Astyanax mexicanus: one gene and its partner. The protein of the gene in region 1 binds, or shares a complex with, the protein of each later gene. Links are inferred from orthologs where the notes say so. Each region holds a gene or a part of one and is shown on either strand. Other genes may lie near its edges.

Evidence for each region.
Region 2: cyfip2 (region 1) and brk1 share a complex: the UniProt entries of both Homo sapiens proteins name them as parts of the WAVE1 complex. The link is inferred for Astyanax mexicanus from reciprocal best matches to the Homo sapiens genes CYFIP2 and BRK1.

The regions. Positions count from the first base shown.
Region 1 is NC_064417.1:49,384,551-49,401,437, reverse strand, and holds the start of cyfip2 (cytoplasmic FMR1-interacting protein 2), read left to right. Parts: upstream 1-9,430; 5' UTR 9,431-9,587; intron 9,588-16,887. Other genes in the region: itk (tyrosine-protein kinase ITK/TSK), read left to right, coding at 471-639, 2,190-2,406, 3,522-3,586, 3,689-3,807, 4,865-5,022, 6,179-6,244. UniProt on the Homo sapiens protein: Involved in T-cell adhesion and p53/TP53-dependent induction of apoptosis. Does not bind RNA. As component of the WAVE1 complex, required for BDNF-NTRK2 endocytic trafficking and signaling from early endosomes.
Region 2 is NC_064431.1:28,737,853-28,755,389, forward strand, and holds brk1 (probable protein BRICK1), read left to right. Parts: upstream 1-11,369; 5' UTR 11,370-11,415; coding exon 11,416-11,533; intron 11,534-13,465; coding exon 13,466-13,548; intron 13,549-14,261; coding exon 14,262-14,288; 3' UTR 14,289-15,216; downstream 15,217-17,537. Other genes in the region: uncharacterized protein C3orf62, read right to left, coding at 6,911-7,182, 7,876-7,934, 8,042-8,259; histone-lysine N-methyltransferase SETMAR, read left to right, coding at 17,179-17,277. UniProt on the Homo sapiens protein: Involved in regulation of actin and microtubule organization. Part of a WAVE complex that activates the Arp2/3 complex. As component of the WAVE1 complex, required for BDNF-NTRK2 endocytic trafficking and signaling from early endosomes.

The DNA of each region.
Region 1 (16,887 bases):
ATTAAAATTTTGAGAATCATGTATCATTTTTGTTCCACTTAACAATTATGTGCTACTTCATTTTGGTCTGTTATTAAAATTGCAATTAAATACATTTAGGTTTGAGCTGATTTAAAATATTGAAGTAAATCTGCAACTAAAAAAATATAATGAATAAAATACATAAGATTGGCACTTTCTTAAACTTAATGTAGAAATACATCTTTTAGTGAATACAAATCAAACAGTTCATATCCTCCAAACCTTTTTGTTTCATTACAGTTGTCTGTTTTCTACAGTTGTCTATTTTCTACAGTATGTCTATTTTCAAATTTAAGAATTTGCGGTTGATTCACCTTAAATCTGATCCTTAATTATTAAGTGGAGTAGAGAGTGAACAGGCAGCTTCTCCAAGTGTCCTGTAGGGGCTGATGTACTGTAGTATTATTAATTTACTCTCATAATTCATCATTTTTCTTTTTGCCGTGTAGAAAAGTGGGAGGTGGACCCGGACGAGCTGAGTCTGGGGAAGGAGCTGGGCTGTGGGCAGTTCGGGGTGGTTTTAGAAGGATTCTGGAACGGTAAGAAAGTGGCCGTGAAGACCGTACGCGAGGACGCCATGTCCGAGGAGGAGTTTAAAGAGGAGGCTAAAATTATGACGTGAGTGATAATTGTTTTTCAGCAGTTTTATTTTTTTTTGGAGGGGGTTAAATAATTATAGCTTACAAAAAAGTTACATTACTTTTATATTAAACATATAATTGGATTAATAGTACATATGAATTAGTGCTGTAAATGTTAATAAGATTAGTCTGGAACCATAAAATTTCTAAATGCAAATTATTCACGTGACAAAGTTTAGTCAGCCTGGTAACACACACATGCACACACAGCTAATGGCATGATTTCTTTTACCTGGTTGTTGAGTGTGGAATATGGAGCTAGAGTAGTGTTTATTTCCTCCGTTAAAGCTCTTTAGCCTAGTAAAACATAAAAAAGTCATTTTAAATTAAATGTAATTGGAATAGGATAAATTGGATTGTTAATTTATTTTAATTCGATATTAGATTTTGTCAAATTAAAAGGAAACTCAGAAAATTAGATAAGTTGTGTCTGTAAAGCATTCACAAAGGACACATTAGAGTTGTGTATTTATAATAAATACTTAAAGGAGAACTTCAGTGTAAAATGGATTTGGATTGTAGTAAAACCTGATAAGAAGAAATACACAAAAAAATGATGCGTAAAATTTACTTTAAAAATTTTTCGCAACTTTCTGCATTTGCTTTTTTTAAGTAAATTTAATTTCAGATAATTTAAGTAACTTCAACTCGGTTTCAAGACACAGAGTAAATAAGTGAACTGAACTTCATTCAATCATTTCTTTTAGTAAACTTTACTTCATTTATTTTTGCTATATCAATTATTTTTTTAGTAAACTTTACTTAATTTCTGCATACAATATTACCTAATTACAATTACTTAATTTATACAATATTACTCAAATACTTTATGATACATAATAGATTATAATTCCTGTTTTTTTTTTTTTTTAGTTAAAACACACATATCACACTGTCTCAACACATGGATGGCATGTAATACATTCTTTATACTAGTAAACTAAAAATAATGTATTACATGCATCCATGTGTTGAGACAGTGAGACTTGGTCTGTTTACAAAATAAATATTTGAGATTATGTAAATATTGTTTACTTGTAATTAGGTAATAATGTATGCAGAATTTAAGTAAAGTTTACTAAAAGAAAGGATTGATTCAGTAAAAATAAATGAAGTAAAGTTTACTAAAAGAAAGGATTGATTCAGTAAAAATAAATGAAGTAAAGTTTACTAAAAGAAAGGATTGATTCAGTAAAAATAAATGAAGTAAAGTTTACTAAAAGAAAGGATTGACTGAAGTTCAGTTCACTTATTTATTCTGTGTAACATTTAAGTCTTGAAACCGAGTTGAAGTTACTTAAATTTATCTGAAATTAAATTTACTTAAAAAAAGCAAATGCAGAAAGTTGCGAAACTTTTTTACGCAAAGTAAATTTTACGCATCATTTTTTCAGTGTATAACCATATTTCAGTTTAAGTCCATTTCACACCAGACTTCTCCTTTTTTTTGTCCTTCAGGTCTAGTATAATGTAACTCCAGGTAGCAGCTCACTGATTATAACTGCACCTCCTCTTCCTGTTTAACAGGAAACTGTCCCACCCTAAGCTGGTGAAGCTGTATGGCATGTGCATGCAACGCTCACCCATGTGTCTGATCTTCGAGTTCCTGGAGAATGGCTGCCTGACGGACTTCCTGCGCTCCAAAAAAGGCTCCTTCAAGCCGGAGGATCTGCTGGGGATGTGCCTGGATGTGAGCGAGGCCATGGACTACCTGGAGAGTTCCAACTTTATACACAGAGATCTGGTAAACCTGCACTCTCAGGGATTGTCAGATCTGCTCCTCTACACTAATCTAGATTTACTTGCTCATTTAATTAGACAATTAGAAGTCAGAATACATGTGAAGATCAGTAATGTCAGTAAAAAAGGCCACTAACCCGAGAAAAGTGACAGAAGGTGGACGGTAGGCAGCTGGTCTATGGCGCGTGACTGTGAGACGGACAACAGTTAGAGATGTTTCGAAATAAAGACATTTTAACACTAATAACAGTCTTTGCAATGTGATATGTTACTTTACAACATGTGTAATAATGCCCTGCTAAGTGCATTCAGCCACTGACCTAGTCTTAGACTCTCTGTAAAACGTAAAATCCACCGGAGATCCTATGTAAACCCACCTGGTTACACACAGCTTGAGTGGATTTTTACTTTTAACTAGTGTAAACAGAACTGTTCTAAACACACACCTACCTATCTCAATTGTGCTTGGCTGGTGTTGTTCCCCCTATAGACAAATTCTAGCTATTTGTTTTTTAGCTCTGAATTACTGGGTAAAGCATATAAACACTGATGTGTTATTTGCACAAATAACACTGCAATGAACTGCATGCTGTTCCTAGGGCTGTTATTTTGCTCCTATCTGACAAGACGGCGTCACTGCCCGGCTTCAGCTTTGTCTGTGGGCGGTCCTGAGCCGAGGTGGGCGGGGCCATGAATACTAATTCACGGGTTGATGTAGACACAGTGCTTTTCCTGATCGACTCGTTTTTCTGAATATTTTCTTTTACTAGCTGCTGCAGACAATGGAGTTTGAGGAAGAGTTTTATCATGTGCAGCGTCATATACAACTCAGAGAGACCTATTGTTTTTCACAAAGAACAAGAAAAAGTGGATTTTAGGGGAAGGGCACCTTTAAGAGCCAGATGGGCTCTGATTTTGGTGGATTGCTATTTTAACAACGCAGATACCTGGAAACGTCCAATGCTTCTCAGCACAATGAGAATTGTGATGCGTGATAACACTTTGCGCAGTGTGTATGATAGAGCCGATTGTGTATAATAGCATAATAATGCAATTATATAACTTAAGTCACTTGCTGAGTCTTTAGTAATGAAAGTAATGAATCTTTCCTGTTTGCAGGCGGCGAGAAACTGCCTGGTCTCAGAAAAGCTTGAGGTGAAGGTGTCTGATTTTGGAATGACCAGGTAAGAAAACAAGCTGTTATCAGGTACAGTAAACCTTTCCTGTCTGCTGAGGGCATGCTCTCTACATGATCACCTCTCATCATTTTCTGCTGGACCCTGCAGGCCTGTGCTGGATGATCTGTACGTCTGCTCAACCGGCTCCAAATTCGCCATGAAGTGGTCGTCACCAGAGGTGATCAACCACACCAAGTTTAGCAGCAAGTCAGACGTGTGGTCATTCGGTCAGTACGACGTAATTTCTTAATTTAAACCTGCTGTATTTAGATTTAAGTAGAAGTTATGCAGATCTAAATCTCTAACCTCTACATAATACAATATTATAAACTGATTGTGATTTTTTAAATGAAAAACAGTAGGTTTTTCCACCATTTACAGCTCTGGAAAAAATTAAGAGATCTCTTCATTTTCTGAATCAGTTTCTCTGATTTTGCTATTTATAGGTTTATGTTTGAGTAAAATGAACATTGTTGTTTTATTCTATAAACTACAGACAACATTTCTGTGTCCCAAATTCCAAATAAAAATATTGTTATTTAGACCATTAATTTGCAGAAAACAAGAAATGGCTGAAATAACAAAAAAAAGATGCAGAGCTTTCAGACCATAAATAATGCAAAGAAAACAAATTCATATTCATAAAGTTTTAAGAGTTCAGAAATCAATATTTGGTGGAATAACCCTGGTTTTTAATCACAGTTTTCATGCATCTTGGCATCATGTTCTCCTCCACCAGTCTTACACACTGCTTTTGGATAACTTTATGCCTTTACTCCTGGTGCAAAAATTAAAGCAGTTTAGTTTGGTTTGATGGTTTGTGATCGTCCATCTTCTTCTTGATTATATTGCAGAGGTTTTCAATTTGGTAAAATCAAAGAAACTCATCATTTTTAAGTCTCTTATTTTTTTTCCAGAGCTGTATTTCTGTTTGCATATACACTGACCTGCCAACAGTTAATCCTTTTATTTTTATTTTTTTCCTAATTCAACTTTTGTTTTTATTTTTACCATTTACTTTTTTAGAATATTAGTGTTATTCTTATGTACTTAATTTTTTAAGACTGAATCTGAGGTAAGTGATAAATCAATATTGCCTTAACTATTCCTTCACCTCCTTAAGCTCTGTGTATTTTTATTACATACTAAATATTACTAATGCAGTAAATATATCTGAACTGTATATTAAACATTACAACTTTGATGATAAATGATATTCAGTATAGTATGTCCTCCTCCTGAAGTATGAGCTCCTATTGATTTAACTGGTCTTGGTAATCTCAGGTGTGCTGATGTGGGAGATCTACAGCGAGGGGCGGCTGCCCTACGAGTATCGCTCCAACGCGGAGGTGATCGAGTCCCTGAACGCCGGACAGAGGTTACTGCAGCCCCGCCTCTGCCCAGAAACCGTTTACCAGCTGATGCAGTGGTGCTGGAAAGAGGTGAGTGAGGATTTTTCAGTGGCATCACTAAGGGTTTTTACAGTAGATTTAAATTCTGGCATGCACAGCACACATTTTTGGGCTTTTATGTATGGCGTACAATTTTACGTGAGGCATGGGCTTTTATGCCCGGTGTGCGTTTCTAATCAGGGCATGGGCTTTTACACATGACTTGCACTTTTACGCGTGTTTTTACTCATGGCCTTTTATGCACAATTTTACATGAGGCATGCACTTTTATGCATGGCGTACAATTTTATGTGAGGCATGCGCTTTTACGCACGCCTTTTAGGAATGACATGCTCTTTAATGCACGATGAACGTTTTTACGCAAGGCATGGGCTTTTACGCACAAATCCTGCTTTTTCACCATGAAGGGTATACACTTTTATGTATGCCGCAAGATATTATGTGAGCCATGTGCTTTCACACATGCTGCACGTTTTTAAGCAGGACATGGGCTTTTATGCATGGCACCTGATTTTATACAAGGCATGCCTTTTACACAGCGATTGTGCTTTTCGGCATTCAAGGCATATATGTTTTGCACTGTGCACGATTTTACATCCTCCACTGAATGAGCTTGTAGGCACGGAAGGCATGCATCTTTACCCACTGAATGCCCTTGTATGCATGGCACCATTTTTACGTGAAACTTACGTTTTTCGGGCATAGAATGCCTAGACCTAAATTATTTCCAAGGCATGGTAATATTTTTTTTAACATTGTTACTTGTTGATATTGATCTTACTTTAATTTAATACAAATGAACCCTTAATTTTTCATTTTTGGCTCAAGTGCTGCCGTGCCCTACTACAGCTGTTTTCCAGTGAGGTGGGTGGGGCTGTTTTATTGGCTGGAAAAGTTTTTAATTGGTCTATTCTGATATGTTATTATAAACTTAAAAAACAAATATTAACAACACAATGTCCTTAATAGTGGATGGAGGGTCTGAAAGTGTTAAAAGTGTACCTAGTGCCTGAGGAGCCCAAAGTGACTGAATGCTTCCATTGCTTGAGAGCAGAAAAGGCCATCAGCATCACAGTAGAAGCATGAGTTTGGCAGATTTGTGAGGCATTTGTCTTGTTTAATCTACTGTATTAACTGTATTATTATAACGGCATGTCTTCATTTAATTCTATTTTATTTCTAATAGAAACCTGAAGACCGGCCGTCCTTCGCTCTGCTCCTCCATCAGCTGGCCTCTCTTGCTGACTTCTGAGCCATGGATTGTGTTAAATTTCATACACAAATCAGAAACCTGAATATAGATATATTGTACAGTTTATAGCAGTTTATTTATTTGTAAATTCTATTTATTTCTACATTTTTTATATTTCTGAGCAACCTTGATCTAATGGATCAGCCTTTGGTGCCTTAGTAGATAAATATATGGTAAGCCATTTTTGCCTAAAATTACACCAGTGATAAAGTCCTAACTTGTATAATGTACACTGTAATAATATAATATAATTTTTTTTAACTATTAATAATAATATTAATTGATCTAAAACTGATCTGAGTTTGTCTAAGTCAAAATTACAGAGGAGATGTCTGCAGTCACAACATTTACTAGTTAAAAATGCTAATTACTAGTTCAATTGTAATTTTTATTGGTATACTAGTGCATCTAAAAAAAATGTATACTATCCTTGAAAATTACTTTATTTCAGTAATTTAGTTCAAAATGTGAAACTTAAATATTGTATTTTATAGATACAACACAGAGTGATTATTTCTCCTATTACTATTGATAATGGATTACAGACAATAAAACCCAAAAATCAGTGTCTCAGAAAATTAGAATATTATATTAGACCATTTGGTACTTTTGGCAGTGTGGGCAGTGTACCAAATCCTGCTGGAAAATGAAATCCACATCTCAATAAAAGTTGTCAGTAGCAGAGGTTCAGCATGAAGCGCTGTAAGATTTTGTGTGAAAACTAAACTGCACTGACTTTAGACTTGATAATAAAAACACAGTGGATCAACACCAGCAGATGACATTAGATGCACTAGAATACTGAGTTAGAACGTATATCAATGGTGTGTTTGTAAGCTAAACCTATTTGCTGTATAAACTCTTGTAGTGTAGCTGCATTAAAACACTTCTGCTCTTCTGCTCTAGAGGGCGAACACAAGCTATTTAATAAACTAGATAGAGCTTCAGCCTCAAAACTATTCATTACTGTATTATTTACTTCATTTACTGTATTATATTTTTTACTGTTGGTTCAAATATTATGTATCATAAGTCATTTTAATACCATGTTTTATTTTTAATAAAAGCAAAAAAACCCTAATCAGACAAATATACCATGTTTTAATCTGTGACCACACACACACATACACACACACACACACACACACACACAAACAAACACACACGCTTTAAAAAGAACAGGATGACCAGACGAATGGACTTACTATAGAAGCCCATGGTGATACACACACCCACTCACCCTCACACACATGCCTCCTTTGGTTACTGTGGAAACCACACAAGGGTTACACACACACACACACACACACACAGGCTGCCAGGCCTCACTATGTATCAAACAGCCCAGAGCACATGGTCGGCTCACCTCATATTTTATTGAATGTGTTTCCAGTGGGGTTATCCGCTCTGTTGTAGGCTAATGAACTAGCATGAAATATTCAAGCAGACAGCTACTTCATTTTTTCAATTTCCCTATCAGTTATTATCTAAACCTTTCACCACTCACTGGAACAAAATGACACCAAAGCAAATGACTTTTAATAGGAGAATGATGTGATCTACAATAGCTTAAAGGGGACCTCTTTTTACACAGGTTAGAATAGGTATATGGTCTATACAAAACATACACTGAGTGTTTATATCTTACATAGCTTGTGCAGGCAGTGGGTACAGAGCCCTCACTCAGACAAAGTCTGCTGCCTAATCCTGCTGTGTACTGTCAGAGGTTCTCAGGAATGGTGCCAGGGTGGTTCTCTGCAGGTTTTCTTATTGTGATGTCACAATAAGAAGCTAGGGAAACATCCAATCGGTACATAGAAGCATATGATTCCTGACGCAAAAAGTGAGTTTTGTATAATACACACTATATTATGCTATATTAACCATTACAGTGGAAAGTCAGTCACTTCTGGTCAAATAATATGATTATTTATTTTTCTCTATGTTTTTTCTCTATATAATAAAAAGAATATTCTCTATAGAGACACACTTCTGCATATTTGACTGTTTATTTGCTTCAACAAATTCATCCAGAAAAGGATTATTATTATTTTATTCCCACTTGCCATGCTATGCCCATTTAATATCATATGCAATAATACATTTTAATTAAAATTTTTGCAGTAGTGTATTGTTGATTTTTTTTTTATTTAGCGTTTTGTCATATCGAGTATCGTTATCACAAGAATACCATGAAATATTCTGATCTTATTTTAGGGCCATATCGCCCACCTCTATGCCTTGTCCGGACGGGATTTGTTTCTCAGGGAGTCATGGTGGGGCTCCTCTGTGATTTTATTCCCGTCCGGAACGACCATGTATGTGTTTTTCTCAGACGTCGTCTGAGAAAATTACAGGCTGAATTACCTACTGTTATGTACTGAATTACCTACTGTTTGCTGAACTCCATTCTCTTCCAGTAATTTTAGTCCCATCCGGAAGCACATCCGGAGATCCATGTAAAAATACTACAGCGAGTGGAAATGGAGGAGCTACTGAACACAATGTCATGTGACCAAGAAAGCCTAAAAAAACTTTCTTGCATCCATTGCATTCTGGATGCAGGAGTTTAATCACTGAGTAGAAGTGTTAAATATTTTAGATTTCATGATTTATGAGGGTTTGAGGTAGTTTGGGTGTTGGGTGGTTTTGTGAATTGTATTTAGTATTTAATAAAACCAGCCGACTAGTTTACAAAATTATGTTTTAGCAATTGAAAAAAAAAAAAAAAACACCAGTAATAAACACCAGTATTTATAATTTGTTTGTTTGGCTAATGATAACTCACTCACAGAGAGGCAGCTAAGGATACCACTTTAAAATTAGACTCCTTTATTAAGGTTTTATAAATAGTTTATAAAGGCGTTTTTTAAGCGTAACTTACAACACCTAAATAGAAGGAACAACAGTGACTATAACTTAACATGTGTAATTGAATAATACAGAAAAACGTTAGTCATTTAATATGTTATTAAAGTTAAATGAATAAAGTTTTTAACAGACATTTATTACTTAATATCCATTAATAAACTGCTTTATAAGTATTTATAAACCCTTTATAAAAGAGCTTTTTAAAGTGGTACCCAGCTAAGCTAGCGTTAGCTTAGCATAGATTAGCTTAGCATAGTTCATGTTAGATAAATGGGCCTCTGTCACTTTAAGAAAAGCACTTGCAGCCATTTTCTGCTCTTTGTGTGCGGGGTGGGTGGATTAGCGGACGGGGCTGAAGCCGGAGCATCAGTCGGTGGAGATCCAGGAGAGAGGCACCCTCCCCCGGCTTGTGTGAGAGCCGAGTTGCGCTTTGGCCGGTCCGTTCGGTTTCGGGCGGACATGAGATTTGCGGGTAGGCTGTGAGCTGGGCTGTGTGTGTGTTTAAAGCGCTGGGTCTGGTGATGAGGAGGAGGTTAGATAGATAGCGGGATGATGGAGGCTCGGCGGGAGGGAGGAGGAGGAGGGGACCTGCTGCTGCTGCTGCTGTAGTTCGCGATGCGCCGTCATTTTTTATCACTGAGACCCGTCTAGTCCTGCTGTTTGCTGGTGTTTCTGCTTGTTTAGCGCGTTTCTCGGGTTTGTGGTTTTATAATAAGTATAATATAGAGGCGCTTGTGTGAACCAGGCATCCGTTCATTCAGTAGAAGCGGTGATAGCGGCGGTAGTATCAGCGGTGGTGCTGCTGCTCCGCTGCCTCACTGAAAGAAGCATCCTTCCCCGTTATGGGTGGGGTGAGGGGAGGACTGTCGTCAGAGCCTCCATACGAAGAAATACTGATAAATATCTGGGTTTTCTCACTGATTCCGCCTGTTTTAGATGCAGATTTGTATTTATTTGCTGTATAATAATAAGAAATAGCTTTAACGCGTGTGTTTTGTTAGATATATGGGTTATATTAAGGTGGCTCTTCTCAGTGTGGGCTGTAATATGGTTGCTAGGTTAGCTGGTTACTGCTGTTGCTAGCTAATCTAACGCTAAGCTAACTAGCTAACGTAACTAGCTGTTACTGTGTTTTTATAACGTTAACCTATTTAAACAGCAAATTTCTGCACTTCTTCTGGAAAAATGGGTTATAATAAAAAAGTGTTGTTTTAAATAATTCTAATATTACATATGAAAATACAATTTGGCATAAATATACGTGTTTCATAAATTTCACTTTCGAATTTGTATTAAATAATAATGGTGTAACAAAATAAAGAAATATAACAAAAATAATGTAATGTAACAACAGAAATCTACCAAGTTCAGCATATTTAGTGCACACAAATTGCAGAAATCTTGGACTTCCTGGAAAAAAATGTGTTATATTAAAAGAAAGCGATATTTTGAGTTAATTCTAATAATAAATATAACATAAAATCATACATTCAGTTGAAACTTAAATAAAAATCTAACGTTATAAATGCCTGTCTGTTTTGTAAACAGCAACTTACCAAGACCCTGAATTTGTATAAAATAATAATGGTTAATAATAATAATAATAATAATAATAATAATAATAATAATAATAATAATAATAATAAAAAACTTATCAAAATAAATACAAAACAGTCAATACAAAACGAATTTTTGGACTTTGTGCTATATTTAGAGAAAGTGATGTTTTGTTTGTATATTTCCTAAACAGTAACTTGCCAAGACCCTGAATTTGCACTATATAATAATGGTGTAACAAAATGAAAAATAGAAACAAAAATAATGCTAACTACTGCTTTCTTGAGTTTTTTTTTTATCATGTCAAGAGTTTTTTGCGATAATGTTTTTTACAATGAGATATGGCACAAACCTACACAAGCTACACATTTGCACTCACTTTGTTTACCCCATATTTTAATAGTAAAAATGACCGATACCTAAACTGAACAGCTGGGGCACACTAAAAATTAGGTAATGTCTAACTAACATTTCTTAGTATATTACACAAAAAATACCCCTTCCTTACTTGTCATCAGTGTGTGCTACCTTTCGTTGGATATTTAGTTATATTTAATAAGATTGAATTTCTGGCCACAGTGTTGTAAACCATAAAAAAGTGACCATATTCTTTGCTGTGATTTGCGACTTCATGCTGACTGAGAACTAATTAATTTTATCAGGTAATGTGATAATAGGGTGGCAGAAGGGAAACAGGAAATATTGATCTATTTAGTTGTGTGAAAGGTTTATCTGCCCTAAAACAATAGCACAATATTTCATGGTATTTTTACAATAACGATACTTTTGCCAATAAGACAAAACACTAAATTAAAAGAAAAATTAAATAACACACTACTGCAACAAAATGAAAATACAATTTTACTATTGCATACATATAGCACACCCCTAACGGATATATTAAAAAATACAAGAACTTTATCAGATTTGTAACAGAAGTCAATAATCCAGAATGTCATGATACTAATAATAATGCACTCCAAATATCTCAATATATCCAAGATTAAAGTAAAATAAATGATACTGGGCAGATATAATCTGTTTGTAGTAGATATATAATGGGAAATGAGAACAGTGTGAATTTTTCTTTTGCTAAAAACTGCAAAAAGTAGTACCCTAATGTGATAATTAGGGCTGGGTGATATGGCACCATATTTTAGGTTGTAATATCATTCACGATATTAAAAAGGTTAGCAATATTATTATGTATAATACTATATGGCACACTGCTGGTCCAAAGTGCTGTTATGAACTGTGCTAACCTGAGACATGCTCTTTTGAGACCAAATAAGCATAATATCCCTCATTTTTCACCAGTGTGTTCAACCTATAAGCCTCCATTACAGAGACGATGAGAAACAAATGATATTTCAACAGGTTATCAGCTGGTCATCGGCTGTCAGACGGTGCCCTTAGCACAGAGTATGAATACACTGCTTGTTAGTCATCAGTCAGTACATCACTCACTGTAGCCGGCCTGTTCAGAGCCTCAGTGTAATTTCATAGCCTGAAGGAAATCCATCATAAATCTATGATGTAATCCAGTCCGGTGCTGAGGCCGATGCTAAGTTGAACAGCATTCTCCACTCTGCTATCATTCTTGAAGGAACAGCGTACGGCATTGTGTCCAGTATTAATACACTTTGTCTTTATAATAGAGTGATCTGACTGATGGACCTGTAGTGTGTTACAAATTCATACAAACAATCGGCAGATTGAGGCGTGAAACCTGTTCATGCATCTTGCCATAGGCTGCCAGAGCTCAGAGAGAGCACAATTCGTCTTGCTCTCTCTGGGTGGGTGATGTGGATCAGCACAAGGCGTCTGTGAGCTGATGTATCAGAACCCAGTTGCTGCTCTTACCCTCGAGCGCACTGTGATGCTACTTAGTAATGCTGCATCAGCAGCAGTTCAAAAAGAGGCGGTGGCTGACTTCACATGTGACGGAGAAGGCGTGTGCTAGTCTTCACCCTCCTGGTGTTGGGGCATTACTAGTGAGGATTTGCATAGAGCTGCTTGGCCATGACGACTCTCCATTTCATGAGTCTCTATACACTCTGCTGTTGTTCATCTAATCTAAAGCTACATGAAGTTTGGAGGTGTGTAGTGATGAACTCTGAAGCTACATTAAGTTTGGAGGTGTGTAGTGATGAACTAATCTGAAGCTACATGAAGTTTGGAGGTGTGTAGTGATGAACTCTGAAGCTACATGAAGTTTGGAGGTGTGAAGTGATGAACTCTGAAGCTACATGAAGTTTGGAGGTGTGAAGTGATGAACTCTGAAGCTACATGAAGTTTGGAGGTGTGTAGTGATGAACTCTGAAGCTACATGAAGTTTGGAGGTGTGTAGTGATGAACTCTGAAGCTACATGAAGTTTGGAGGTGTGAAGTGATGAACTCTGAAGCTACATGAAGTTTGGAGGTGTGTAGTGATGAACTCTGAAGCTACATGAAGTTTGGAGGTGTGTAATGATGAACTCTGAAGCTACATGAAGTTTGGAGGTGTGTAATGATGAACTCTGAAGCTACATGAAGTTTGGAGGTGTGTAGTGATGAACTCTGAAGCTACATGAAGTTTGGAGGTGTGTAGTGATGAACTCTGAAGCTACATGAAGTTTGGAGGTGTGTAGTGATGAACTCTGAAGCTACATGAAGTTTGGAGGTGTGAAGTGATGAACTCTGAAGCTACATGAAGTTTGGAGGTGTGTAGTGATGAACTCTGAAGCTACATGAAGTTTGGAGGTGTGTAGTGATAAACTCTGAAGCTACATGAAGTTTGGAGGTGTGTAGTGATTGGTGTAGTGACTCTGCAGAAAGTTGGTGAACTCTGTGAATTATGCTCCTCAGCATCCGCTGACCCCGCTCTGTTATTTTACACTGACACAGTCTCTTCTACTGTGTTATAATATCACTGACAGTTGGCTGTGGAATATTTAGTAGTGAGTTGTGAAATTTCACGACTGGACTTGTTGCACAGGTGCTGCATCCTATCACTGTACCACAGTGCTGGAGTTCACTGAGCTCCTGAGTGCCACACATTATTTCACTAATGTTTGTAGAAGCAGTCCCAGCATGACTAGCTGCTGCTTTTATTATTATACACCTGTCGACACAATTGATTCAGCAACACCTGAGTTCAATGATTTGGTTCTTTTCGGATTTATTCAATGTGATATAATTCTGAATCTGAAATATGAAAAATATATAAGCCACCACCTGTGGTGTATGTAATCACAAACTGAGAGAGCTGGGTGAAATTGTAAAAAATGTGTATTACAACATTAAAGGACATTTTTATGATGCACAATGTTCATAACAATATTTTGACATACACACAACATGCATCAGCAGTGTGCCAGATTCCTAAAAAGGTGCTATTCACATACTCTTTCATGACAAGTACAGTGAAAATAGTAATGAAATGTTTAGTTGGGTTAGTGTTCTTTAAGCATTGATGATAACCATGATATGCTTATTAAAGCATATTGTGAATACCAGGGTTCCAGACTAACACGGTTCCACCGTCCCAGAGACAGGATTAAAGCTTTTTTGCAACACTTTCAGGAGTTTTCTGAGACAGCTTGCTGGTTGAAATATCACTGAGTTTTCCTAATTATAAGTGCAGAGTCTCTTTCCAGATACACTGCAAGAGTAGGAGGAGCATATGGACAAGAAAGTCAAAACAATTAATGGCATTATGGCTGTTGAATGGTACACAAACAAATACAACATTAATGGTAAATAATAAAGTATAAGTATTTTGGTTACCTTTGAGACGGTTTTGGGACAATTCTGGGACGCTTGTGAAAAAAGTTAATCTGGAACCCTGAATATGATAAGGAAATGTAACACAATACCATAAAATATCATCACACTGCCCAATTCTAGTGTGTGTTATGCTGCAGGCCTTTGGAAGAGGAAACTCACTGAGCGGCATGACCCAAACATGTCACACTCTCAGTGGCTCAATTCATGAGAACCCTGTGATCTCCCTGCAGTCTTCTGCTGCCCATCCGCCTACCAGGGTGATCCTTACGTCTGTTACTGGAGGTATAAATGGTAGCGTTCTGAGCATTCTGAGTGTAGAATAGCTGTTCTCATCCATGATAATAAATTGTACTATTGTCATTTTAAGACTAATGACTAATTCTGCTACACTGGAGCGTCACTAAAATAAAATCTGAAACTGAAACTAAGGTCGGTAAAAATGTAACATTTGGCTTACCTAAATGTATTTTTGTCTTACCTACAAAACAGTTTGTCTCAGTTACAAAACTGCAGGTTATTAAACACAAACATTTTAACACCCCAGCAGAAAACCTGACTTTACCTCACATGACAGCAATGCTATTCTAATCATATATTTGCTTCAGTGGTGCTACTGAGGTGTGAAAGGCAACAAGTTTTTTTGGTAAACAAACAAATGCTAAGGCTAAGCTACCTCAGCTAGTGTTACTATCCTAGTCCTGTACAGCTTTTAACTTCCTGCTGGAAAACGGACAGTATTAAAAGAGGTAGTAACCTATTTTTAAACGTGATAAGTGAAAAATGACGAAAGCTTTATTTTTTGGTGTAATTTGTGTGAGTAAAGCTACTACCTGCCATTTGTGAATCTACCACAACTGCTGAAAAACGAGTTGACACTCCTCAATAATAAAACACAATGGGTAATATTGAGGTCACCAAACATTAGAATTGAGATGATGTGCATATATTTCAGTTGATGACTGAATTGTTGTGACAGGTCTACGTGAGTGAGGACAGGCTGGTTAAAGCAGTTCAGAGGTTCAGAAGCCGTGGATTTGTTTTCTCCTGCCTTCTCGCCTGCTGGTGTGCTGTAATCCGTAATTAGCGTTTAGTCGTAGTACGGGGTGCAGTTTATAGCGCAGCCTGTTTAAGCGTGGGGGATTTGAGGAGCAGATATGTGTGTTTTCAGGTCGCTGGTTCTGGCTTTGTGAAGCTCGAGTAACGTATAGGAATGTGGGTTCAGAGACGGACTCTCAGCAGTGTGGGAAAGTTGACTTTGGCTTCGTCACCATCAGACTCTGTCTGTCTGTCCCAGTCTGTGTATTTCTCTGTTTAACATTCAGCAAAGACAGGCTTGTCTACCTGTAGGTAGGAAAAATGGCAAATATATTACCATATTTTTCAGACTATAAGGCGCATCATCAGTAAACATCTATTTTCTGGTCTATTTTCATACATAAGGTGCGCTGGTTATAAGGCACATTAAGCGACACTAGTAAGGATACCTACATCAAAGTGAGCAAGGGCGTCGCCATGTTTCCTTTCTCATGGGGAAGCTGTAAAAAGCGGCTTAAAAAAAAACATTTTCTTTCAAAATCAAACAATGTTAATCTACACAGATTTCTCTCCTAAAAGCGCTTCCGTTTGTTTACAGTAATCTTAGATTTCCAATATTTTGTCTAACGGAGATTTTTCAGTGCTCAAGTTTCTCCAGCATTAAGGCTAGGTGCAGCAGCATTAGCCACTAACTGCAGCGGGCACCCCTATTGCCCAGCCCTAATTGCAATAATATTTATAATACTGTGTGCACTGATTCTCTATTCAACTAGACAGCTTGTGTCATATTCAGTGTATTGCAGAATAGTGGTATACATGGCCTGTATTGCGTGATGCCCAACTGGCCACAACTTGCATTTTAGCCACTAATAATGCAGAGCATGTGGCCAGAATCACCACTTTGTTTCCCTAAATCAAATCAGATTTTGTAGATAACGTTAACTTTGAGCTCTTCAGTATCTACTGTGAAGGTATGGTGATGATGATGGACCCCAACACATATACTTTTATGAATAATAAAGAAGTTGTGGCCACAAGTTTCTTAACTGTGGTGGCCCAAAAAGGCAGTGTACCCCTGTGACCAAGAACTAGTACTGGCTGATTTGACCTCAAATCAATATATTCAATTATTAGAATATTTGACCTTGATTGCAATTAATAAACGATTTATTTAATATATAATTGACACATTGATTTTCTTTGACAAATTTGCAACATATATAAATTACAAAACTGAAACATTTTAGTGATGTCTCTATTCAAAATGAAGGCTTATGTTGCAGCTGCTCAATGTTTCTAATGAAACAGCCAAATGTGGTCACCAGACAAAGCTGCAGTTTGTAGGGAATATAAAAAAACTTTAAAAGCTGTTTTAAAAATGTTTTAAAGAAACCAAAAACACAAAAAGTGGG
Region 2 (17,537 bases), on another chromosome or scaffold:
AATGTGCTTCAAATTACACAATTTCCAATGTAGACAACTAGCTACATTTCTCAGATTTGATTGCATATGTTCTATAATAGTTTTAAATGCCATGCCGTTAAAATAAACACGGAAAGAAGAGAGATAAAAACAGAACGGATCAGTTTGGATCAGTCCGATTCAAATCAAGACATCACTGAAGCTGACAGAGGCTGCGCAGCATATACGCATACACAGTTCAGTTTTTTTAAATTCTCTTTTTTTTAGGTAATATCTGGAAATATATTAAGACAAACAGAAAAAAATGTAGCACATTATTTTTATAGAACAGAACATACTTGATCGTGTTGATTAGTGTTAGTGAAATTTGCACAGTTATGCAATAAAATACAATGTGCACATGCTGCGCATTTTCTGTTAGCTTTTTTTTTTTTTTTTGTAGAGATGCTCAGACATAAATACAGTGTTTCGGGTGTTCTGTCGAGTTGTTTGTATTTTTTTTATGGTAATTCTTTTCTTCTTGGGTGCATTTAAACAACCGGAACCCCCTTGCCATTATTTGTCTGAGTATTACAAATGCGTAAATGACAGTTGATAATAATAAAAGTAATAATAAATGAGCAATGAAAAAAGGGTTATTAATCACCCCTAATAACCTAATATTGATTCAGGCTTTCCAAATATCCTACTGAAAGCATGTTTAAATATGGGTCTTTTTCTGGCATTTTTACGTTTAGATATGTACTAGGTTAGCACGGTTTGACAGGATAGCAAAACTCGACAGAACACCTGATCACATTTAAAGTTCAAAATCAGTTCATACTCATTTAAATTACCTAATTTACGTCCATAGTTCATAGTAACTAATTTAATTAAGGTCACTGTTGATTTTACCCTTAATATTGTTTATTAAATTGTATATTAATATTATTAATTGCTGTTGTTTTTCAATGTCTATTCATCAGCAGCCCATAATCAATGCTACCCCCAAAAAGCCTTTAAACTCAGGTGTATACAAGAACTTTCTTTGCTTTTTAGTAAAAAATAATTTTCTACTTTTTAAATTAAAAAATACTCAAAAGTAGTAGTAAGTTGCTTTTTAAAATTTATTTTAAGTTTTTTCCTGCTTTTATCTCCATTCACCTCATTCATAAAGGACTCGCTCGCGAGCTCTCTCTAGTGTTTCACATTTCTGATATAACAGCGGAAAGTGGTCAGACTCTGTAAACAGCTTTGGCCATACAGAAGATACGTTTCAGTAATTAAGCCTGTCAAAAGCAGATGATTCAACCAAAGCTCAGCTATTTCTTTCTCTCTCTCTTTCCTTTCCCAGTGTAATGTGTAACTTTATATTGTTGAGTTCTAAAATGAGCTGGAATATGAATGATATATTGTCCCAGAGAGTATTAATATGGTGATATAATAAAGTTAATACATTTCATTGAACTATTGTATCACATGTCTAAGTGTTATTACATTATTGTGTTATTATATACTCTCTGGGGCGGTGTGAATCTGCAGTGTGTGTGTTTGTATAATAATAGACTGTGTGTCAGTACTGTATTTATAGTCTCTGTAAGTAAGTTTGTACCACGTGGTGTGAGTGTATCTGTTAGTGACGTGCTGGAGCTCCGCCCCCTGGTTTGAGTCTGAACCTGAAGGAGAGCAGAAGGAGCTGTGTGTGTGTGTTTGAGCTCTGTGTGTGTTTGAGCTGTGTGTGTGTGACAGCATGGCCGCGGGTATGAAGAAGTTCTACGACCTGTCCGCTAAACTCCTCTCCGGAGATCTGCTGAACTTCTCCTCTCTGAAGGGGAAAGTAGTGCTGATAGAGAATGTAGCGTCTCTCTGAGGCACGACGGTCAGGGACTACACTCAGATGAACGAGCTCCACGCCAACTACTCGGACAAGGGGCTCGTGATCCTGGGAGTGCCCTGCAACCAGTTCGGCCACCAGGTGAGCCACCCTCACACTTCTAGCTGATCATTATTATAACCTGAGCTCTGTGTCCCCTCCGTCTGAACAGGGCTTGTTTTTAGAGTTTTAGAAGCAAGAATTTAGATCAGGAAAAAAACAACAATACAGGAAATGATGATTTAAAAGACTGATAATCCATAAAATACATAATAATTTAGAAATTTTATGATAATTATTAAAGTTCCTGATTGTTTAGATGCTTTCAGTTATGTCTCATAATTCCCAAAACATCTGATAGTTCAGAAAAAATGCCTAGTCATTATAAACACATTAGATTTGTATGAGTCTGATTATTTTAGAAAATATATGCTAAAATCAGAAAACTGATTTAAATGCTATAAAAAAATAAATGCTTGATACTTTTGAAAGCATTGAATGATTGTGGAAATTTTAGAAAATTTGTTGTGATTTAAAAAGTGGTGTATAATTCATACATTCAGAATGTGTCTGATTAATTATACTGCATTTGATTTCTTTGAAAATATCTTTTGCCTCAGAAAGTGTCTGATAGCCCTAAAACAATATCACACTATTTCAATATTCTTGGCAATATGACAAATGCTAAGTTTGCATATAAACTGCAAACTAAGAAAAGTAAATACAGTAAATAATAAAATAAATATGATTTAATGTAATTATTATTATTTTTTTTATATGGAGTGTTTTTTTAATCGTGACATAAATTGTGGCTATAATATTGCATACAATACGAAATGGCACACCACTAGTTTAGAGTGATTATGTGGTACCTCTCCTGTATGTACCTACATATGTACTTACTTTAACTTTTCAAAAAACACTATATTGGTTAAAGTTAATTTCTGTTGTTTAATAAGTCAAAATATCATGTGGTGCAACCCAACAGGAAAAATAATTATTTTAGGTACAGTTGAGAATGCGACATTGTAGAACAAAAACACTTTATTAGTTAATCTTTAGAAATTTCTGACCTATGAGGTGCACTTAAAATTCTATAATTTTCCCAAAAATCACCAGAGTGCCTTATAATGCCTTATGTTTGAAAATACTCAAGGCATTATGTAATGTACTTATAATCTATGTACTTATAATGTACTTGTAATCTATTGCGCCTTACAGTGCTAAAAATACTGTAGGCCTATGAAACCCCTAATATATGCGTTATTGAACCATAAACAAATACATACTGTATTTTTAAAAATAGGATTAATTATATAATTGCTCCTGTGCAGTTGGTTATGAAGCTAGTAGGCCTGCATACACAGACTGTTGTTTTTATCATCGTGACTTTGTGAAATTTGATAATGAGGGCTCCAGGGCATGCTGTAATGGGCTCTTAAGTCACTGAGGTTTTGGAATAACAGCCCACAGAGCTGCCTGAATTAATTCACTTGTTTCTTCTGTCCCAACCAGGAGAATGGCAAGAACGAAGAAATCCTCAATTGCCTGAAGTACGTCCGTCCAGGGAACGGCTTCGAGCCTCGCTTCCAGCTGCTGGAGAAGGTCGAAGTAAATGGTACCAATGCCCATCCCCTGTTCGAGTTCCTGAAGGAGAAGCTGCCCTTTCCCAGTGACAACTCCATGGCCTTGATGACAGACCCCAAGTTCATCATCTGGAGCCCGGTTTGCAGGAATGACGTCTCGTGGAATTTTGAGAAGTTTCTGATTGGTCCAGACGGAGAGCCGTTTAAACGCTACAGCAGGAACTTCTTGACCAGTGACATCGAGGCCGACATCAAGGAGCTCCTCAAGAAGGTCAAGTAAACTGGCCTGGCGCTGGGCCTGCTGGGGTTGTGTGGACAGGAGATAAGGGCAGTAAACATCTACCCCCGTCCTATCATTTCTGGCCACCAGCTCTGTTTGAGATGGCTCTGTTTTAGTGTGTGTTGGCTGACTTTGCTGACTTGGGTAGAGTGCGACTGTGCTGTAGGCTGTTTACTCTATGAAGGCGCCTCTTGAAATCTATTGTGAGGGGGGTGTCTGATGAAAATGTAAATGTCTGTTGATAACAGTGGTAATTTAACTACGTCCAGCAATGCTCAGCTCTACCGTCCAGCTCTTTTAAACCAAATAAACATTCCATAATGAAAAAGAACTGTTTCTCCTTTTTTGTTTGTTACCTAATCTAGAGAAGTTTGTCGAAATTCAGGAAAGAACCAGGCAAACCACAACACTTCACTTTTTTTTACTTCCTCATTGGTTGCTGTGCTACTGGTTTCCTTTTAACTGAAAGTGATTGGTGTGGCTCAGTGGATAACACCACTACCTGCTAGTGAGATATCATAATCATGATTAGGGAGATTAGGGTGCAATTCTCGGTCTGGGTGAATGAAAGCTGTGCTACGCCAATAAGAGTCCTTGGGCAAGACTCCTAACACTACATTGGTCCACTTCTGTAATATAAATAACCATGTAAGTCACTCTGGAAATGTAAATGAAAGGATAAGGTGAATTAGGTAAAAAAAAAAAAAAAAGGGCAACCTTTTTTTTTATTATTATTAAAGAGCAGACCTTAAGTTTTTTGTTTCTCATTTAAAGCAGTGAAAGCAGTGGTGTTCATGAGTGAGGAGGGCTCAAATACTCTAATAAATGACATACATATCATGTCATTTACAGCTCTGGAAAAAAACAAGAGGCCACTTAAAAAACTTCTGGAATATAAAAAGAGGAAGATAGATGACCACAAGCCATCAAACCAAACTGAACTGCTTGAATTTTTGCACCAGGAGTGGCCTAAAATTATCCAAAAGCAGTGTGTAAGACTGGTGGAGGAGAACATGATGCCAAGATGCATGAAAACTGTGATTAAAAACAAGGGTTATTCCACCAAATATTGATTTCTAAACTCTTAAAACTTTATGAATATGAACTTGTTTTCCTTGCATTATTTGAGGTCTTAAAGCTCTGCACCTTTTTTGTTTCAGCCATTTCTCAATTTCTGCAAATAAATGCTCTAAATTACATTTTTTTTATTTGGGATTTAGGAGAAATGTTTTTGTAGTTTATAGAATAAAACAACAATGTTCATTTTACTCAAACATAAACCTATAAATAGCAAAATCAGAGAAACTCAGTGGTCTCTTAATTTTTTCCAGAGCTGTATGTGTAATTTTATTACATGCAGAATTGCATGTGTGTACGTCTGTAGAGATTTCAGCTCTCCTTTGCACCATAGCAGAATGTCACAACAACAAACAACCAGATACTGGCAAAAGTCCTGACACTGTGTGACCTGTGTTTGTGTGTGTGTGAGAGTATTACAGTCAGACAGAAGTGTCTTTGTGCTGTGTGTGTTGTAAGAACATGTATAACACTGGTAAAGATTAGCTGGCAATAAAAATGATTAGTTTTGATAGTCAGTAGGTGGCAAAATAAAGGTTAAAGATTAATGACTGAGACAAGCTTCTCAGACATGCACATTGAATAAACCGCAATGAGTAAGAATTTATATATGGCAGTATACAGTATTTAGAGAATATGGATCTTTTGGACATATTCAGATTCACATTCAGATTCCTTTATTTGTCCCCAAGGGGAATTCAATAGGCATAAAATAACAGACACAACACGTACAACATTCATTGATACTCATAAACTGAGGTGTCAAGAGAGGTTATCTATACTGTACTGGAGTAATTATTTTTCATATGACTATCATCCAGATAGAGTGAATCTGATTGTGATTGGATGTAGAGAAGTATAAACATATACCATTCCAACTCCCTATTGGTTTATACTGTGATCCATTACACCTGCACATCACGTCATGCCCCCCCCCCCACACACACACACACACACTCCAGCAAGAACATAGCAGACGTATGTAGTGTAGTATGAAGATGAGTAAAAAGCTTAGTAAAAAAAAAGTTGATATTTCACTTTCTAAAGAAGTATTTTTAAAATCTAGTATCTAAAAATTAATACTATATATGAAAACTTCTCACACCTTTGCACGTAAATTTACACTTTATATATCAGCTTCAGGATTATGGAGCTGGACTGCCCTGGGGAGTCTTCCTTCTTTGTGTCCTGCACTGTGGACAGCAAAGTCTGCGTCCTGATGGAAGCCATTTAAACATGATAAGGGTCCTGCAAAATCTTGTGAGCTGATCTCACAGTTCACTGATCACTGGTAAGATGAGCGTAAGAGAATGAATGTACAGAGCATGTACTGTTTCTGATGCTATTTCTTTAGTGGCTCCTCCAGCATGTTGTCCAGATGCAGAGACAAGAGTACTGTGTCATCTGCAATTGCTATGGTACTTGTACTATTACTGCCATTCCCTCCTCTAGGTCAGCCTCAGTGTTGTCCTTGCTCAGCTGTCTCATTTAAACTGTAGGTCATGGCTTACATAACAGACTGGCGAAGATACCACTGTGTCATGGGTCTCCAACACTGCAGACAGACCCTGGCTCTTTGAACATGTTTATTTATAATGTCTCAGTTCCAAGTTTAATAAGGTTATATGTACAGACCACAGATCCGGAATTTTTTATCTTGTTTATTTGTAATGTGGCACACAAGTTTTATACATTCCATATTTATAAACAGTTTACGTTAAAGCTAAATATAAATAATATGTTTCAAAAAATGTATAAAAAAATATATTAAAAATATCTATTTCTCAATAAGTTCGTTTTAAAAAACAAATAAAAATAACTTTCAGTTAGACAGATGAGATTTTGGCAGTGTTCATATTATAATAATAATACATAGATTGCAATGCTATTTAGAATGAAGTGTTGGATTGCAATGTTATTTAAAAAAATCACAAACAATAAGAAAATGATTAAACATTTAGATATTAGATATTAGGCTATTTAGGCTATTTTTATTATTTATTGTTAACTGGTAACTTTTAAGGCCACAGTTCTTTATTGTTTTATCACTAAACTAGAGCCTAAAATCCATTTCTCCAGAGTCCTGTGCTCCAGTGCTCTGCCCATGCAAGGAAAATAACTCTGATCCACCCACAACTAGAAGTAGAGGTCATAGTCCTGCTCCATCTCCAGGACCATGTCCAGCAGGCCTGTGAGCACATCTTCCTCACCATCAGTGTCCTCTTCACTGTCTTCACCTTCCTCCACGCCACTGTCTGCACTTTCAGTACTGTAACTCCCTCTGTCTGATGGTAGTGGTGATGACTGTGTGTTCGTGCTCACCCTGAGGTTACCACACACCCGGTTGAGCTCATTCTCAAACTCCAGCTTTGCTAGTAGCTCCTCCAGAGTCTGCAGGCTGGAGGCCTCTTCAGGAAAGGAACAAGAACAGGAAGAATTACATAACTGCAGCGTTACAGCATTCCTGACCTCCATGAAGTGCTGGCCTTGTTTATGTATACTGTAATTCCACATATTTGTAATTAAATGCATAGCAATCAAAAAAAGGTATGGGGATGCCTGTTCATTTATTGTTTCTACTAGAATAAAGGGAATTAATAAATAATTTAAAAAATCTCTACTGTCAAGGAAAGTCTAGATTGATATACATCTCTGGAAAATATTAAGAGACCACTTCAGTTTCTGATTAAGTTTCTCTGAATTTGCAATTTGTAGGTAAAGCTTTGAGTAAAATGAACATTTTTGTTTTATTCTATAAACTATGGACAACATTATCCCAAATTCTAAATAAAAAAATGGTCAATTAGAGCATTTATTTGCAGAAAATGAGAAATGGTTAAATAACAAACCCTGGTTTTAGAATACAGTTTCCATGCATCTTGGCATGTTCTCCTCCACCAGTCTTACACAATGCTTTTGGATAACTTCATGCCATTCCTGGTGCAAAAATTCATGGCTTGTGATCATCAATTTTTCTTTTGATTATATTCCAGAAGTTTTTAATTTGGTAAAATCAAAGAAAATCATCATTTTTAAGTAGTCTCTTATTTATTTCCAGAGCTGTATGTGTAAATATATAAATATAAAGAGATTACACAGACCAAGCAATCCATCGCAGTTCTGTGGCACGGCACCTTCAGACTTCTTTTTGGATCCCAGGCTAAGTCATAAGGAAGGGTGTGGACAATAATTAGTAGTGTTATGACATCTTTAAGAAAACCAAGGCATATACTACAATCATATAATCACAGTTAAGCACATACTCACCATGCAGGCCTGCAATCAGGCCTCTCTGAGTGTCTAAACATCACATTATGGTACACTGGGCAGAGGCCGCAGTCATGAAGGATCTCAGTGTGGCCAATAATGTATTGAGGCGAGACATAAATAACAGGTTCTGAGGTGTTGTGTGAAGCAGGTGAGCAGTACTCATGATCCCGGGCTGCTGAAAGGCCTTGTATATACTGTCTTAGCTGGGTTGGCATTTTTCTAGCTACCAAGATAAAGACAACATTCTTAACTTTTTAGTCTTAAAAAAAAAAAAAAACTACTATGACATAACTGCACATTATTGTGCTGTATCTGTGAACTCAAAATAATGAGAGAGCATCTCAAAATAATGACTTATTATCTCACAATAATGAGTTAGCATTTCAAAATATCTCAGAACAATGACCTAGTATCTGAAAATAACAACTAAGTTTTTAAAAATTATGACATTACATCTCAAAATAACAAGTTAACATCTCAAAATACTGATATCTCAAAATAATGACATCATATCTCAAAATAACAAGAAAGCATCACAAAATAATGATATCTCAATAGTATCTTAAGATAGTGACTTAGTATCTCAGAATAACTACTTATTATCTAAAAAACATATTTACTTTATATCTGAAAATAACAAGAAAGCATCTCAAAATAATGTCTCACAAAAACGAGATAGTATCTCTAAATAATGACTTAGAATCTCACAATTACGACATAGTATCTCAAAATAATGAAAAAAGTATGTATGCAATAATTAGAAAATTAATATGTGCTGGAATTTGTGTTTATTTTAGCTGGCGTGAATGGGCTTTCATAGATCTTTAATGGTCAAGATTGTAAAAAAAAAATCCAGGGAATCCAGGGAAACATACTCTATTCTGGTTAACTAACTTATTATTTTATTTATTTATAGTTTTTTTGTTTTAGTTAGATGGGCTTCTTTGTCTATTAACCTGGTTGATTCACCAAGCTGGTAGCTGGGCAAGCTAGTTAGTTAGCTAGCTAGCTAACATAAACAACCAGAAGATTCAGTTTCTAGGTTACCAGGTTAGCTAAGCTAGCCAGTAATGCTAAAGGTCATTTATGCCTCATTATCAGTAATTCTGAAAAAGTTTAAAAATATATATTCTAGCTAATACAACTGATATGTATAATAATTTCAAAAATGCACTTACTTTTTTCCTAGTAAACTGTATTTATATGAACAGCAATTGGATAATTAATGTTAGCGTTAGCAAATTAACCTGTCTAACTAGCTAGGTTAGTTATTAACTAGCTTGGTTAACAAAGAAGCCAGTTAACGTTAAAATCGTTCGTTCAAATAGATATTTAAATAATTCACAACGTTTCCGTTTATATAGGCTGTTTAATATAGTATTTAATCAATTAACGTTAAATAATTAGATTAATCTAGGACACTGTAGGGCAGTTCCCCAGACAGAGATTAAGCATGGTTTTAGACTTCACAGAATTTTCAATGGATATTTACGGTTAATCTCTGATCTTATATATATAGTATATATATGACAGTCTGTAGGGTAAAACTAATGCCTGAATATAGGTCACTGCCTAAAACCGTGTGTCAGTGGAGCCCTCTTTTGCCCAAGCCGTTGTCGTCGCTTAAGTTACTCAAGGCTCCAGCCCCTGACGTCCAATAAGCTGTAAATTCCCAATAGTCTGTGTAAATAAATTAGTTGAATGCATTGCTAATATAAACACATCTACAACTGTATATTACCTATAGCTAGTGTTTTCATACATACAATGTACACATACCCACACACTATATACACTTACTAGAAGCAGAACTCACACCTATATACCTCATAATGTGAAAAAACAGTGTTTTTTCATGTACAATGTAAATATTGATGTCAATATTCTTAAGATTTTTATTTACATTTTTATTATTTATTATATTTCATATTGTTAATATTTTATAACGTTTAAAAGCTACTTTAGTCTCAAAATAAATGGTAAACTGTATAAATGGTGGAATGCCAATACTTGGACTAAACATTTGGTTAAATGCTAAAGTCCAAAAATGTTTGGTTAAATAGTGGAATGACAATAATTGGGCTGTTTCAAACGTGTCAAAAAACTTTTGGTTAAATGCTTAAGTCTAAAAACCTTTAGTTAAATGCTAAATCTAAAAACTTTTAGCTAAATGGTGGAATGACAATACTTGGGCTGATAAAGAAGTGTCCAAAAACTTTTGGTTAAATGCTAAAACCAAAAAAGCTTTTGGTTAAATGGTGGAATGCCAATATTTGGGCTGATAAAGAAGGGTCCAAAACATTTGGTTAAAAGATAAAGTCCAAAAACATTTGGTTAAAAGATAAAGTCCAAAAACCTTTGGTTAAATGATAAGGTTCAAAAACGTTTACTTAAATAGTGAAATGCCAATTACTTGGGCTGATAAAGCAGTGTCCAAAAACATTTGGTTAAATGGTGAAATGCCAATACCTGGGCTGATAAAGAAGTGCCAAAAACGTTTGGTTAAATGCTAAAATAAAAAAAATGAGTGCCAATACTTGGGATGATTAAAAAGGTTCCAAAAAAATTGGTCTAATGTTAGAATCCAAAAACCTTTGGATAAATGCTGGAATGCCAATATTTGGGCTGATAAAGAAGTGTCCAAAAACGTTTGGTTAATGATAAGGTTCAAAAACGTTTGGTTAAATGGTGGAATGCCAATACCTGGGATGATAAAGAAGTGTCCAAAAACGTTTGGTTAAATGTATAAGTCCAAACACGTTTGGTTAAATGCTAAAATCAAGAAATGTTTTGGTTAAATGGTGGATAAAGAAGTGTCCAAAAACATTTGGTTAAAAGATAAAGTCCAAAAACATTTGGTTAAATGCTTAAATATTGCTTAAATAAATGCTAAATCTAAAAACTTTTAGCTAAACGGTGGAATGCCAATACTTGGGCTGATAAAGAAGTGTCCAAAAACTTTTGGTTAAATGGTGGAATGCCAATATTTGGGCTGATAAAGAAAGGTCCAAAAAAATGTTGGTTTAATTTTAAAGTCCAAAAACTTTTGGTTAAATGGCTGATAGAGAAGTGTCAAATAAAGATGAACAAAAAAAATGTCTGATTCTAATTACCTTATTACTGCATAATTTTTTTGTAATATAAACTTTGTTATTAAAGATAAAGAAATCGAGATAAATAATAAAGATTTATGTCTGGTAAACAACAATAATATCTGCTTAATATCTGCTTTATTTTTTTTAAATGGAATAAACTGCAGAATGACCCACTTTTTCGAGGAGCCGTATACTGTTGAGTTTTTCGCCGCATGTTTGGCTGCAGGCGGCGCTGCGGAGCCACTAAAACAAACGCAGCGGCTTCAGTAGATCAACATGGCCGGACAGGAGGATCCAGTGCAGAGAGAAATCCACCAGGACTGGGCAAATCGCGAGTATATCGAAGTGATTACCAGCAGCATCAAGAAAATAGCCGATTTCCTCAATTCCTTCGGTGAGTTCGGCCAGAGGAGCGGGCTGGGGGCTGTGTGTAACCGGCCGTGAGCTGCGGTAGCCGCGGTGCTAACGGTGTTAGCTAGCGTGTGGAGGAATGAGGAGGGGCGGATGGATAACTATTAGCTGGTTAATGTGGGTTATCCCTGTTTTTAGATATGTTCACAGGCTTTTGGCTCGTTATTTAGAGCGTAACTGGAGCTGGGGAGGGTGTAGTGTACATATTTATACAGGACAAGTCGTCACCTAGAGAGCTAGTTTAGCCTTATAGCTTAGCTAACCTAGCCAGCTAGCTTAGCCCGTCAATATAAACATAAACATAGTGGACTCAGGCTACAGTAATGTTAATGCAGTTAGCTGGCGGGATAGATAAACTTTTTGAGTGTAATAAACCGTAAATGTGAGTCTTTAATATTACAGTACAGTGTATATAAATGTATATTTCTCATTATACCTCCTTAGCTACATATAAACCACTAGCTTCTTTTAGCTTCCTGTTTTTTTCTGGGTGCGTTCTGGTGGCGCTGCAGCTCAGTATGACTAATGCTAACCATACACCAGAGAACTTTAAAAAGACAGTAGACACCCAAAGACAAGTCACAGACTTTTTACTCACAGATAGACAGAGGATCACTGTTTGCAAGACTGCAATTAGATTATTTCTGAGATTATTTACCATCATGCTTCTGGTGGAGATTACATACAGTCGAATTACATTTTGAGTTACAAATAATGTGTACATCAATACTGTGATTTATTAGAGATTTACAGCTTTTGGCCCATCAACAGTTTATTTTTTAGTCACAATGTTACTTCTTGATATTTTTTAATATAATACATTTTGTGTTTAACTCTGCCAATTTGCTTATTTTCACTTTTTTGCTTCAACCTTGAAAAGAAAAGAATCACAGTTTCACTGCTATACCTATTTAACTTTGTTTTAGATAGAATCAATGCAATTAAGAACACCATTCTTGCAAAATGTGTATTTATTAAACTTGTTTGTATCAAAAATAACACTGAACAACAAGACAAAGTAGTGCAAAATAAAATAACTTTATATATATTGACTTTAAAGTGCTACTTGTGTTTAAAGTATTGTACATATTAAAGTAAGGTCCATTTAAGACGTATTAACTGCAAAATGTGTTTTTTTTTTTATCGTTTGTGAAGAGTCACGTAAAATATTAAGTAAAAAAGTAAGTAATATTGCTTTGCAGCTTCCTGTAGCTCTTCGATTGGTTGTTGACATTGTTCAGGTCACTATTTGTGTGAGCTAAGTCTCAAAACTTACGACAATATTTAACACGATCGATTTTATCTGGTCTTATCTGATTGTCAGGACGCGAAAAACACTGACTTCAATCCTAACCATCTTACACTGAACAATTAAGATGACACGACCGCAAATCAACTCTAGCAACACTCTTATGATTTTATCCTGACACTGGAAATTTGTCTGCGACAGTGAAATCGCTTGAAAATTGTTTATTTGCAAAATATTTTTAGCCAACTGGTTCTTACATAGACTGGTCACATCTTTAATCCCTCTTTTTCACATTAACTGGATAAACCAAAGAATAGGTCTATTGAAACTACCAGTAATAAAAAAGATAGAAAATATTTTGAAGTAGCTCAGCCAGTGTTGGCCAATTGTAATATTGCAGTCGGCATAGCTTGGTCCTTTTCCAGAATACAAGTGGCCAATTCCCTGTGATGGATATCTGGGATGTGCTTTATATATTGTCTTGTTTCTGTATGTTGACAGTAATGATTTTGACTGGCAGCATATGGCAAAAACAACTATTAAATGGATGTTTTTTTCTATATTGTACAAATGTCTACTGCTAAAAAATTGCTAAATAAACTATGCTTATGTACAAAAGTAAGAGTAACAATCAGTTTCTGAATATCTCTCTGCTTTCTTTACCAGATATGTCGTGCAGGTCCCGCCTAGCCACCCTGAATGAGAAGCTGACTGCCCTGGAGAGGAGGATTGAGTACATTGAAGCCAGAGTAAGAGCATATGTGGTGTTAAAAAGTCCATTAACAGCATTATACACTATTCCAATTAGCAGCCTGGTTCCTCTGTGTGGGTTCAGCTAAGCCATGAATCTGAACACAGATAATGCACATGCTTTTGATTGATTGAGGTCTGTCTCGCTGTCAGTGAAATAATCTGGTCTATATTCAGGTAGTCAGCTGACCTCATTCTTTCAGCACATACTGTTCCTGAACCTAGACCTGACCAACTTCAGCATCAACCCCACATAATTTGCTTAATTAAATCCAGGTGAAGACTTTTTTTTAGCTAGGAAATGTGGCATGTCAGAGAGCAGCCTCTCAGAACAGAAGACAGAATTTACGTGCATTTGTCATTTACATGCAAAACTCTACTCAACTATTAATAGTTTATTTTTTTAGACGGACATAATGCAATGCAAATAAAAAATATCGTCACGCTTTTGCATGTTTGCATTCTGCATTAGTTGAGGTTTGTGGCACAGATGTAACCCTCTAAACAGGAACTTGGTGAGTTGGACCATAGTGCTACAGCTCAGAATGAAACTGCTGGGTGTTAAATATTCAACTTAAGCAAATAAAAGACAGCTTGTTCAGCAACAGCCAAATCAAGCTAAAATAATTTATGTGTAAGCACAACTTTAATGTATCTTGTATCTGTAATGAGCTGCATAGTATAACTCACTTTCTCTCCTTTTCTCTTCAAGGTTACGAAAGGGGAAACACTGACCTAAATGTCTCAACGCAGAGGACGAGAAAAATGGCCACTCTCCGTTTTTTCCTCCTTTTCCATTCAAGTTCAACAACTCAACCAACTGTCACTTGACAGACTGTTTTAGACCAGCCTCTTAAAGCCCAAATTAGGAACTGCTGCAGCAGCACCATCACTGGACTGATTCTGAGTTCTGTTTCTGAAAAAGAGAACGTGGAAAACATGCACATTTTACGTTTTAAGAGGGCATTCTTTAAAAGTCTCTTGTTTTGAGCAGCTGCTGCAGTTCCTAATTGGGGCTTTAACGTGCGGGACCATTGTGATGACGTCTATGAGCATTTTAAATGTGTTCCACACTTTCTGCCTCAGTATGAACAATGTTGTTTTATTTTGGATCCTTGGTTTGGGTCAGTTGACTTGTTACATACGATTGATTGGTCCCCTTTTTAACTTTGCTCTCAAGCTTGAACAGCTGTTCTAAACATGCAAACTTAGACACTAAACCTTTTAGAAATATTGAGCGTTCAGTAAAGTAATCAGTAAATAAAACATGGACAGAAGAATAGCCTGGATGCCTTCCAGATCATAACGGTTCCATTTTATTTTTAACCGAACAAAAAAAAAAGATAATTGTGAGAATTGTTTATTTTTTTGCCCCTAATGTGTTTAACTAGTTTCTTTATATATTTTGTAATTGTTTAAAATGCAAAATAAGCCTGCATATGCAGAAACGTGGCTACCCTTGTCTCTCATGCAATAGAACGAACATCTTAGCAGCTTTACAAAGCACATAATAGCGTGTGTTGGGTGGGGGAGTTTCTAAAGTGCCAATCAGACCATGTTGAAGAGGCGGATGCATCTGCAGCAGTGCGGTTTTGTGTTTTATTTAATGCTCATACATTGATGTTTTGTGGTTTAAACAAGGAAATAAAAAAATCAAGTAACTGTCAGGGTTGTGTTTTTTAATCATATTTTCATATATATTAAATAATATGGCTTAGCAGTGTTTTTTTTTCTTACTAAAATTCACAATTTGATACTATTTTTTTCCATATTTGTTTTATTTAATTAGTGTTGCCTCACAAATTTCGCACAGCCACAATAAAAATGTTTTATCTATTAAGCATTTATTATAGGTTAATTTAGGTTCATTATTGCCTGTTGCTTTCTCTTAAACATTTTATTTCAAAGGAATATATTTTAGATCTTACCTTCTCTTTTAATACTTGAAGCTTATTCTGATATGTGTTTAGGCCCAGCTTTTGAACTTTCCAGTTTGGTCAAAAACAAAGTGACAGTTATGAAAAGGGACCACAAACTATGACTACGGTCTGGCCCCTTCAATTTGACAATTTATTTTCTGAAAATACTACAGTATTTCTACAGTATTTTTATTTGGAATTTGGAAGAAAAGTTATCAGTGGTTCATAGAATAAAACAATTATTAACAGTTATTTTTAGTTAAACATATACCTTATTAATATAAGTATAATTTATTTAGAATTTTAAAGAGATCTTTATATGTTTATAGACATTTATACGGAGCCCCTAAAGGGACGTGGTGTATTTTTTTTTTTTTTACATAGAAAGTGGTGAGCACCGCTTACTAAGTCGTGAGCACGACTTACTAAGTCGTGAGCACCACATACTAAGTCGTGAGCACCACATACTAAGTCGTGAGCACCAGATAATGGTAGCTAGCAAGCTATAGTTTAAACTGGCATATGTTCCATAGTGTAATGTGATTAACTAGCTAGGTTAGCTAATGTTATCTATATTTCATTGTGAAATGTTTTAGCTAACGATAGCCAGCTAACTCTTATTAGACACAATCCAGTTATCAAAATCATATTTATTTAGCTGCCATGTGTGATCAAATGTAGGCTGCTTTTACAAAGATCTAGCTTGCTAACCTAATGCTAGCTAAGTTAGCTTAGCTTTAAGGCTTTCATTGCTCTCTGTACAATATATGGTAGGCTTGGGTTAAAGTAGCCGCTGTGTTTGGTGTGTGTGCGTGTGCCCAAAAGCTTTTCTGTGCACATCTAATAAGAGTAAGCTGGCTAACGTTAGTTAACATTTCCCAGTGAAAAAAAAGTAGTTACCATTAGCTAACATAGCTAACGTTAGCTAATACATTTCCCACTGAAATAAAGTAGTTACAATTAGCTAAACTAGCTTACATTAGCTAATACATTCCCCACTGAAATAAAGTAGTTACCATTAGCTAACCTAGCTAACGTTAGCTAAAACATTCCACAATGAAATATAGATAATATTAGCTAACCTAGCTAGTTAATCACATTACACTGTGGAACATATGCCAGTTTAAACTATAGCTTGCTAGCTACCATTATCTGGTGCTCACGACTTAGTAAGTATGTGGTGCTCACGACTTAGTAAGTCGTGCTCACGACTTAGTATGTGGTGCTCACGACTTAGTAAGTTGTGCTCACGACTTAGTAAGTCGTGCTCACGATTTAGTAAGTCGTGCTCACGACTTAGTAAGTGGTGCTCATGACTTAGTAAGCGGTGCTTACCACTTTCTACGTAAAAAAAAAATACACCATGTCCCTTTAGGGGCTCCGTATATATCTGCTTTTATTTTGAAAAAAAGTACATTTAGGTTTTTCTGCAGTGAGAAAATTAATAGCTGCGTTAATTAAAAACCTGCAAAAAAAATAAAGTTTATGTTGTAAATATAACTAGTCATTTTTTAACTGAGTCCCTAAGACTCTGACTTAGGGACTTTAATTTTGAAGTGCGGGCTGGTGATGCTGCTCCTCTAGTTGGTGTGTGTAAGGTAGCCGGGTGTGCGCGGTGTTGTTGGGGCCGGGGTCAGTGTTGGAGCTCCTCGGGTCGGGCCGGTTTTCGGGGCCGGTCTCCGGGTGCGGTGAGCGGCTGCGGTGTGCAGCATGCTGCGCTCATTCGGTGCGGATTTAAGCGGCGGTCTGGAGAATATTCCGGTTTTAATAGAGAGCGGTGTGAGTCAGGACGCTTTGTCCAAACTGCAGGTAGATTTTTACTGATTATTTTCTGTATATTCCCTTTACACAGACTCTACAGAAGCGCGGCGTGTTACTGCACTGTGACGAGTTCAAGCTCTCTATATTTATTTTTCTCTAAACATAATATTTTTCACACTTTTTTAATAATGTTTTATTATGTTTGTTTATGCGCTGCCTTGTAGTTCATATTTACGACCAGTAGATGGAAGCAAAATCTTTATTTTAGCATATAACTACATTCTTATACTATTTATCTATATATTTAT